3 linked regions of the Rattus norvegicus genome follow. The protein of the gene in region 3 binds, or shares a complex with, the protein of the main gene of each other region. Links are inferred from orthologs where the notes say so. Each region holds a gene or a part of one and is shown on either strand. Other genes may lie near its edges. The genes, in order: Ppie, Prpf19 and Xab2.

Region 1 (3,651 bases), on a different chromosome or scaffold from region 3:
ATTAGTTCCTGCCCAGGCGCCTCTCCATTTACTAGGGTACTTCCTGCTCATCCTCCTGGCTTGTCTTTCACTGGCCGCCCTACGTGATGGCAAGTGGCAAATACAGTCCCAACTGAATTGCTCACTGAAACAGCAAATATATGCAAAGGGGAAAGGTTTCGTGCAATGTTAGATCATTAGATAACAATTAGTTGTTATTATTATTATCAGTTAATTAGTTATTAGTTATTATTAGTTAACAATAGAGAGGGGAGATTCAGGAAGAGTTAACCAAAGGCCATACTATTGACTCGGAAGGAAACAGCTGGGAGAATCCTTGGAAATGCCGGCGCTCTTAAAGATGTGCGACCTAAGACACCTGTGCGTTGTTGTGTCAGATGAAATTCAGAGGCGTCACATCCTGTGTCTAGAACTTGGCTGGAAAAAAAATCTGTAAAACTATTCATCCCTGGTTACATGTTTCCATTAGAAATCTGGCATAACTGATTCTATTTTTTTTTCTTATTTTTTTCTACATAACTGATTCTAAATACTAAGAAATTTACACTTTCATGTTTTTCTGGTATCATCATAACATCCTAATAGAAGACCTTTTTTTTTTAGTTTTTGCCACAGAGTTTTCACTGCTGCCTTAAGGTTCACATTAAGTGGCCTTTCCTGGTGCTGATATCTTGGTGAAGTTCTTTATTCATTGTTCTCTGCTACCCAGTCTCCATGTATACTATTTCAAAGCCCATCTTGCTTTTAAAGGGGAACTCGGGGTCTACGTACCCTGTTGCTTGAGTCCCTTGAGCTCAGAATTACCTTAGTAGTGCAGATCTTTGGTGGTATTAAAGGTTTGCAGCAGCTCCAGGGAGGAAGTACCTTGTAATTTTCTTCCTTGATAATGTTGGTGGTGAGAACATAGTTTTCATTGCTAAGGGATCCAGGATTAAAAGGAAACACTAATCAGGTCTCAGGAGTAAATGAAAAGCTGCCAGAGTTGGTTTTTTGTTTATTTGAGGCAGGGTTTCTCTGTATAACACTGGCTGTCCTCAAACTCTAAACCAGGCTAGACTTGAACTCAGAGATTTACCTGCTTCAACCTCTGAGTGCAAGGATTACAGATGCCTGTCACCACCACCTGGTTGCTGCCAGAGTTTTGTAACCTGACAGTTTAAGCGACTGGATTTACACTCTTTCCAGAATGAATCTGAACTCTTTGGACGGACAATTCGTGTCAATTTGGCCAAGCCAATGAGAATTAAAGAGGGCTCTTCCAGGCCAGGTGAGTGGGGCACCTCAGAGTCCTTGTCAGGTCCTCTGGTTTGCCCTTCTTTGTGTGCATGTTCAGTGCTGGCTTCTGGTAGACAGGAGTGAGGACAAAAGGGTGGTTTACACTGTGGAGGGTGTATATTATGAGTGAACAGTGGCAAAGCCAGAGTAATTGGTCGTCTTCTGAGAGAACCCTGTCTGGTGTCCTCCAAGTTTTCTTGGTACTCCATTCCTAGAAGCTATATCTTTGACGTAGCTTTTTCCGTTAGTGCTGCTAAGAGCCTGTCCTCTAGGGATTCTCAGTGGGAACTTGGTCTTGAGGATTCTGCAGGGGAACTTCTCTGGGCTAGAGGACGACAAAGATGATCAAAGCAGCTGCCAGCAGTTGAGGAATAGTATGAATTTCTTAACTTTTGTGTGTCTTTTCCGTCTAGTTTGGTCAGATGATGACTGGTTGAAGAAGTTTTCTGGGAAGACTCTTGAGGAGAATAAAGAAGAAGAAGGACCTGAGCCTCCCAAAGCTGAAGCCCCAGAGGTGAGAGTGCAAGGGACGCTTCCCTCCTGAAGGCATTCTGTGCTCAGGTTGTGATGGGGGCTTGCAGACCGAGCATTTATCAAAGTGCGGTGGGCACGTGGTGCACTTAGAGCTCAGCGAAGGCGGTGCGGGGGGTGAAGGGGCGCAGCTTTGGGAGCTGTGTTTGTACTACTCCCCCGCACCCCACCAGGCAGCCCTCCTATGCTGAGGGCTTTAGCTCCTTGCTCTCTGTCTTGATTTTGGACTCCTGCAGAGGTAACAGGACAGGTAGTGTTGCTTCCCTTTATCTGTGTGTTCTGGGTTTGCCTATGCAGTGTGGCCCTGGCACATCTGGTTCTCAGCTCACCTCCCTGACCACTGCTGCAGGACTTCAGTTCCTCTGTGTACCCTGTGAGGTTTATAATGGCGTGTGGCTTTTCTGTCCTCTCTCAGATGACGTCACTCTTGCTGTCTGCAGCCCTCCTGTGCTGTACTGTCAGCTTCGATGGCCTCTGTTTCTAACATTGGACTTCAGTTTCCGGCTGCAAGTCTCATTGTGGTTTATTTTGCCTTGAGTGGATGCTCTCCCTTATCCTGCTCTCCTGTGCTCTTAATCTTGGTTACTATCTAGCCACACAGTTATCTAAGCCAGAATCTGTATGCGGACTTAAAGTAGCGCTCACAGTGGAGTTCCCCGGATCATCTGGTCCCTTCTTTACAGCAGTAGAACCAGTGCATCATCACGCTCGGGTGCTTTCTTGACAGCCTTCCTTGTTACGAATGTGATCTGGGTCTGACCTGGCCTTTTGTTTGGGTGATTTCAGTGGTTTGTGGCTACAGTCTTGGATCTTCCAGTCCTTTCCCAAGGAAGGTAGAATAATCTTTCTGGAGCACAGATCCAATCATTCACCCTCATGCTCCAAGCTTTTCACTCCCCTGCCATGTATCTCAGGGCATAAGGGCTTCCAGGTCCCTCTTGTCTATCTTTTCAATGTCATTCCGCTTCCCTGCCGTGTAGTCCCTACTCGGCACTCAGTGAAATATTGTGTTTCCATGCACAATGTTGCTTTTGCACAGGATACTCCAGTGCTGATTGCCCGTTTCTGGGTAATCTGTTTAATGAGCTAGGGCTCATTAAATCTATGTATATGTGTACAGTATATAGTAAATGTAATATATATCTAACTGCATAAACTTGAAGGAAGAAAGTAGCTTCAGGTCTTAACTCATCTCTTCCTTCAAGACCCAAGCAATACAGCAAGAGCTGCATTGTTGCTGCCGTGGTATTGCTAGTCCCAATGGAAACAGCAGTAGTTAGAGCATCGCATGATTCCTCGGTGTGCCTCAGCTGAGCCAAAACCAATGTGATGTTTGTTCCCTATCGGCTTTCCTCTGCTTTTGTCTCCCCTACTTAAATACAAGCAAGTCTCAGCCTCTTGTGCTTTGAGCATTTGGACGCCATCAGAAGGGCTTTCCCATGCTTCCAGGGTGGCCTGTGACAGTGACAATTAGGCATGTAAGAAAGCAGTACTGGGCTGCTGTAGTAAGGTAGATGACAACCTAGGCACTGACGATGAGGGGGTGAGTATTCTGACCCAGCGAGTTGCAGGACAAGGGAGGCGAGCAGGCATGTCTGAGGGGGATCGTGAAGAGATCTGCCATGGCTAGGGGTCCTGTTTTACAGTGCTGAGTGAGGTTTCCTGTCACTGGGTGTCTAGTTGGGTATTGTGACCATAGTTCCTGCCTCCTACAGCCCTGTCAGGGTCCAAGACCTTACTGTCAGCATCCATGTTCAGGCTGTTTGATGGCACTATGTTGTGATGATATGTTGGGAAGATTACTTGTGCACCTACTTAGGGAATTAGGCGTCCTCTAACTAGCAT
Region 2 (3,651 bases), on a different chromosome or scaffold from region 3:
TGACTTACGTGCCTGGTGCTTGGGAGGCAGGAGTTGGTGTGTGATCCCTTGAACTGTAGTTATGAACAGTTGTGAACCACCCTGTGGGGTTTGGGACTTGGACCTGAGTCCTCTGGAAGAACAGCAAGTGCTCTTAATTTCCGGGCTCTCAACTCTCTGCAGGCCCTCTTACTGTCTTGAGATAGGACTTTGCTTTGTTAGACTAGTCTGAAACTTTGATCCTTTTGCCTCAGCCTTCTAGTGCTAGGATTATAAGTGCCAACCACCAGGCCTGACTCTTGGGGGTGATGAACACAGGGTTAATGTAATCCCTGTACCACTGAGCAGCCCCCCTCATTTTGTGCTGGCCTTATTTCATTTGTGAGGAACAGGATAGCAATACAAGAGGAGCCCGGTTGTTGGAACTCTTGCAGACCTAGATTCCAAAGTTTTCTCCACTGTCAGCCTTTGTGACTTAGGACACACTGCTCAGTCTCTAAGACTTGACTTCCTGACTACAGGACACTCATTAGTCTTGTCTATCTGGATTCTGTAAGTAGAATGCAGTTGACATATTTGCCTTGTGACACCAGGGACTCTTTCATTACTGGGCTCTGCATTTGCTGAGGATAGCCAGTAAATAATCACAGCAGTATAATTATTTCCTTTCAGAGAGGTGATGACATTAATGCCTGTGATTTGCTGGTGAATTGCAAAGGTTGGGGTGGGAAGGAGCTAATTCTTACTCTGTGTGTGTCCAGGGTGTGGTATGGGGTAGGAGCCTGAATGTCGTACAGGGCATTCAGGGTCACTCAGATGTTGGCTTGGGTCTCTGAGTAGCTCAGGTTGGTTTCAGTGTAGAATAGGAGGTGGTGTCCTCTTCTCTAGGGTTGGCCGAATTCTCCGGCTCTCCCCCAGTCCTCACAGTGGCCTACCCTCTCCCAGGATGCAGTCATGCTGCACAGCTTCACTCTTCGCCAGCAGCTGCAGACAACCCGCCAGGAACTGTCCCACGCTCTGTACCAGCACGATGCTGCCTGCCGAGTCATTGCCCGGCTCACCAAGGAGGTCACTGCTGCTCGAGAAGGTCTCTGGTGTTCCCTGCTGCTCCCCACCCTCTTCTGGCCCTGCTGCTGGCCCTGCTTTGTTATGTCCCATTTCTAACCTCATCTTTTCTCTCAGCTCTGGCTACTCTGAAACCACAGGCTGGTCTTATTGTACCTCAGGCTGTGCCAAGCTCACAGCCCAGTGTTGTGGTAAGTGTTCCCTTCCAGGCCCCAGTAGCTGTCCCTTACACAGACAGTTTTGGTATTGTGAGCCCCTCCTACTCTCCCTTTCTTTTCTACAGGGTGCAGGAGAGCCCATGGATTTGGGTGAGCTTGTGGGAATGACCCCTGAGATTATCCAGAAGGTAAGTTGTGTGTTCTTCTGATGGGACTGCAGTCTCTCCCTTAGTACTGTAGGCATTGGGGGCCTGTAAGACTCTCACAGTGGGCAATGAGAGGAGCCTGTACTGCCAATCAAGAGCTTTCTGATGACACTTACTTCAGTCTGGCTTCCTTTGTCTCATTTCCCTGGCTTCTGAATAGAATGAGGGGTGTGTGTTTCGTAGGCTTACTGTGGGAAAGATTTAATTACCTATGAGGGAAGTTTTTAGCTCTTGCAGTTTTTGCAGTCCTTGTTGATATTAAGTCATTTCGTTATAGATTTTGATCATTTTGCCTTAGGGCAAGAGTTATCTTTGTATTAAGATGAGGAGTCTGAGGTGGCAAGTCAGACAGCTGTGAAGAGGCAGAGCAGACTTCAGACTACAGCTAGGTTCTGTTGGATGTAGTCTTCATTTGTGGGTCAACGGAGTGAGCGCTCATCTGAGCTCTCATGTTTGTAGCCTAGACCTGCTCCCAGAGCACTACAACCTGGTTCCTGTCCCACCTGCTGTGGCAAGGGAGTTCTTTTGATGTTCAGTTTTCTCAGCTATACCATAAGGTTGTGGATACCTCACCTTATAAGATGGGGGTGGAGGTGTGTCAGCTTTTAGCCCACAGTTTGGCAGATGGCGTGTTTTGGTGATGTATCAGATGTGACTAGCACCCAGTGTGCTTTGTGTCACAAAATTATTTATGTTCTCCACAGCTTCAAGACAAGGCCACTGTACTAACCACGGAGCGTAAGAAGGTGAGTTGTTGCCTGCTGGGAACACCCACCTTCTTGGAGAAAGGGCTCGTTGAAGCCTGCTTTCATTGCTGCTCTTGGGGGCTTTTTGTTTTCTCAGAGAGGAAAAACTGTCCCTGAGGAGCTGGTGAAGCCTGAAGAGCTCAGCAAGTACCGGCAGGTGGCATCCCATGTGGTAAGTGGCTGAAGGTGGCCAGCCTGCGGAGTCATGAGAAATGCTACCTGGGTCCCTGGCAGAGTGTCTCACCTTGGCTGCTCTTCTGTCCTGCCATGCAGTGGGGGGAATTGGTACATCCAGGCAGCCAGCCAAGCTGGGTGGATAAGGAATAGAACTCACTCTTCTTTCCTGACTGGGGAGGAAAATGAGGGGTGTGGGGAAGGGGAGTGGAGGACCTGTATGGCTTGGATTTGGCTGTGACTGGGTTTCATGTGGCTCTGTCTGCAAAGGGGCTACACAGTGCTAGCATTCCTGGGATTCTTGCTCTGGACCTGTGTCCCTCAGACACCAACAAGATTCTTACTGGTGAGTCTAGGTCTGGCCTGACAGCCAAGATGAGGGATGGCAGGACCCAGGGAAGATATAACCCCCCTTGGTCCTTTGCATGGATTTAAGGACAGAAAGACCTTCTGTGGCCCAGGGATACTTTAAGGCCTGCCTCATTTTTGTCTTCTTTGTATCTTCTTCAGGTGGGGCAGATAAAAACGTTGTTGTCTTTGATAAGAGTACTGAGCAAATCCTGGCCACTCTCAAAGGCCATACCAAGAAGGTCACCAGTGTGGTGTTTCATCCTTCTCAGGTAAGACACTCTCGAAGTCACCCTTGTCTTATTTCTAAGTCCAGATCCAGTGGTTTTGAGGCTCAGAACTAATTGCCCAACCTCTAGTGTTTTGGTGAAACAGGCATTGATGTTCCCATGCTGACCCCCAAGACTGTTGAAAGTCGTGTGAGTTCTAATAGATGAGAACCCTTGATTTAGAGGATAAAAGTAGCTTATTAGATGAGATTAATGGTTTCATAGAATACAGTGGCTTTGGTATGCTGCTGCCTCAGGTACTTGAGCAGCCTCCCAGGTAGTCTTTCTCTTCATACGTTAGGAAACTTAGATGTAGGGCTGGAGCGACGGCTCAGCAGTTAAGAGCACTGACTGCTCTTCCAGAGGTCCTGAGTTCAATTCCCAGGAACCATATGGTGGCTCACAACCATCTGTAATGAAATCTGATGCCCTCTTTTTTTTTTTTTTTTTTTTAAAGGATTTATTTATTTATTATATATACATCATACAGCTTTCTGCCTGAATGTATTCCTGCAGGCCAGAAGAGGGCACCAGACCTGATTATAGATGGTTGTGAGCCACCATGTGGTTGCTGGGAATTGAACTCAGGACCTCTGGAAGAGCAGACAGTGCTCTTAACCTCTGAGCCACCTCTCCAGCCCTGATGCCCTCTTCTGGTGTGTCTGAAGACAGCTATAGTGTACTCATATATAATATTTAAAAAAAA
Region 3 (2,655 bases):
CTGTGTCTGTGGTGGCCATAGGCAGATACACAGGTAGGGAGGTTGCGTCTGTCCATGTGTTCCTAGTCCTTCTGTCCGGGAGTACGAGTGTGTCTGTAGAGCTTAGGAGCGACCTCGTCCGTGAGGTATCAGACTGCAGAAAGTCCCTGCTCCCCTGCCTTAGGTCCTTGTTGTTGGCAGAGGGAACCAGTGACTGACATACTTACATGTGCCATGATGGAGGGCTGGGCAAAGAAGGGGTCCTGGGCAAGCTCATGGAGACATGAGCCAAGGCATCTGGATGCTAACCCATGGCTTCCTTGGAAACAGGCATATGAGCGTGGCATCTCGCTGTTCAAGTGGCCCAATGTTTCCGACATCTGGAGCACCTACCTGACCAAATTCATCTCCCGCTACGGGGGCCGCAAGCTGGAGCGTGCACGGGATCTCTTTGAGCAGGCACTAGATGGCTGCCCACCAAAATATGCCAAGAGTGAGGAGGCTGCGGGCTGTCCTGGGACATGGGGACATCATAAGAAGGGATGAGCAGCACGGTTGAGCTCTGCACTGCTAACTGGACCCTTGTATCATGGGCAGCTTTATACCTGCTTTACGCACAGCTGGAGGAGGAGTGGGGCCTTGCCCGCCATGCCATGGCTGTGTATGACCGTGCTACCAGGGCAGTGGAGCCAGCCCAGCAGTACGACATGTTTAACATCTACATCAAGCGGGCTGCTGAGATCTACGGTGTCACCCACACTCGCGGCATCTACCAGAAGGCCATTGAGGTACCCACCACCAGTGACCTGGTATGGGGTTGGGGTCCATGCAGGCAGGAGGATCCCAGAAAGCCTGCCTGCATGGGATGAGTGGCAGAAGGCTGTCCTGAAGCCAGGTACTGGGACCCCTTTCCCTTAACCCTGCTCCCCCTGCCCCATGGTGCCAGGTGCTGTCTGATGAGCATGCCCGTGAGATGTGCCTGAGGTTTGCAGACATGGAGTGCAAGCTCGGCGAGATCGACCGTGCCCGGGCTATCTACAGCTTCTGCTCCCAGATCTGTGATCCCCGGGTAGGGTGTGCCCAGTGTCGCGGGGGGAGGGTGGGCAGTGGGGATGCTGTACCAAGCACCTGGCTCACTGATGTGCTGCATCCCACCACAGACAACTGGGGCATTCTGGCAAACGTGGAAGGACTTTGAGGTCCGGCACGGCAACGAGGACACCATCAGGGAGATGCTGAGGATACGGCGGAGTGTGCAGGCCACGTACAACACTCAGGTCAACTTCATGGCTTCGCAGATGCTCAAGGTGTCGGGCAGTGCCACGGGCACGGGTGAGCTTCTGTAGCCTTCCCTTCCTATGATGGCTAGGCCACGCGGAGCAGTGTGTCTGCCCTGTCCCGGAGCACTCACTGCCCGGCCTAGGCCTCCTAGCTCTGCCAGCATTTGGAACCAATCCTGAGAATGGCTGGGGCTGGTCTGATGTGCCTTGCAGAGGGCCTGTGGTCTGACGCTGACCTTCCCTCCCTGCCTGCCCCGCACCCCCAGTGTCTGACCTGGCTCCCGGGCAGAGCGGCATGGATGACATGAAGTTGCTGGAACAGAGAGCAGAACAGCTAGCGGCCGAGGCAGAGCGGGACCAGCCCCCCAGGGCCCAGAGCAAGATCTTCTTTGTGAGGTGAGGGCAGGAGCGGGGTGGACCAGTCCTTCTTAGGAAAGGGGTGTTCCAGAGAAGCTGCTGGAGGCAGGAGGGGTCCACTGAAGCAGCTGACAGCCACCACCTTCCCTCTCCAAACCCCAGGAGTGATGCATCCAGGGAGGAATTGGCAGAGCTGGCTCAGCAGGCCAACCCTGAGGAAATCCAGCTGGGCGAGGACGAGGACGAGGACGAGATGGACCTGGAACCCAATGGTCAGTGGCCAGCCCCAGGGCCAGGGTTAAAGCAGATGGGCCTCCCCATCCCACCCCCACCTTGACCTTACTTTCCCCCACAGAAGTCCGACTGGAACAGCAGAGTGTGCCAGCTGCTGTGTTCGGGAGCCTAAAGGAAGACTGAAGCCTCCACACTTTCCCCTCCATGGTCTCTCCCCCATAACTCTCCCTCTAATACAACCCCTCTTTGTACATCACTGTCTCAACCTTCCTGCCGCCTGCCCAGGTGCCTCAGGGCATGCTAGCTTAGAGCTGCCTGGATCTCTGCACTGATTGGCTGGGACAGGAGGTGGAGTAGTCAGGGGATGTGTCGTGTGGACAACCTGCCCTCACCCTGCAGAGCCAGTTCTGGACGCCGCAGGGCCAGTTCCCCAGCCCCACCCCAGGCCTCTTGTCAGGCCTGCCCTCCTTGAGCCCGAAACCAAGGGGCACCAGCCTCACTTACGTGGGAGTCACAGCTCTAGGACTTCACAGACCCATGTGCCTCCGTGTAGTAACAGGCCCCAGGAGCCTACTAGCAAGGTGCTTGTGTCTCTGGCTAAAGGCCAGACAACCAGGCCTGGTACACAGGCCACATCCAGGGTGGAGCCCTTACAGCTTAAGCTCTGGGAAGCCATTAGTGGCCTCTGGACCATTAAGGGGCTTTGGCATCAGGGGACATAATCAGATTTGTGTGTAGAGCCGGTCACACAGGCTGCCACGTGAGCAGGCGCAGTTGGAGACAGGCTGTTGGCTTGCACTGGGGG

Evidence for each region.
Region 1: Xab2 (region 3) and Ppie share a complex: the UniProt entries of both Homo sapiens proteins name them as parts of the XAB2 complex. The link is inferred for Rattus norvegicus from reciprocal best matches to the Homo sapiens genes XAB2 and PPIE.
Region 2: Xab2 (region 3) and Prpf19 share a complex: the UniProt entries of both Homo sapiens proteins name them as parts of the XAB2 complex. The link is inferred for Rattus norvegicus from reciprocal best matches to the Homo sapiens genes XAB2 and PRPF19.

Annotation. Positions count from the first base shown.
Region 1 is NC_086023.1:140,697,774-140,701,424, reverse strand, and holds part of Ppie (peptidyl-prolyl cis-trans isomerase E), read left to right. Parts: intron 1-1,185; coding exon 1,186-1,267; intron 1,268-1,688; coding exon 1,689-1,789; intron 1,790-3,651. UniProt on the Homo sapiens protein: Involved in pre-mRNA splicing as component of the spliceosome. Combines RNA-binding and PPIase activities.
Region 2 is NC_086019.1:216,969,370-216,973,020, forward strand, and holds part of Prpf19 (pre-mRNA-processing factor 19), read left to right. Parts: intron 1-867; coding exon of another isoform or gene 868-924; coding exon 925-1,066; intron 1,067-1,161; coding exon 1,162-1,235; intron 1,236-1,327; coding exon 1,328-1,390; intron 1,391-2,112; coding exon 2,113-2,154; intron 2,155-2,251; coding exon 2,252-2,326; intron 2,327-2,598; coding exon 2,599-2,674; intron 2,675-2,838; coding exon 2,839-2,948; intron 2,949-3,651. UniProt on the Homo sapiens protein: Ubiquitin-protein ligase which is a core component of several complexes mainly involved pre-mRNA splicing and DNA repair. Required for pre-mRNA splicing as component of the spliceosome.
Region 3 is NC_086030.1:6,465,017-6,467,671, reverse strand, and holds the end of Xab2 (pre-mRNA-splicing factor SYF1), read left to right. Parts: intron 1-309; coding exon 310-472; intron 473-576; coding exon 577-767; intron 768-925; coding exon 926-1,048; intron 1,049-1,139; coding exon 1,140-1,311; intron 1,312-1,525; coding exon 1,526-1,655; intron 1,656-1,778; coding exon 1,779-1,888; intron 1,889-1,971; coding exon 1,972-2,033; 3' UTR 2,034-2,102; downstream 2,103-2,655. UniProt on the Homo sapiens protein: Involved in pre-mRNA splicing as component of the spliceosome. Involved in transcription-coupled repair (TCR), transcription and pre-mRNA splicing.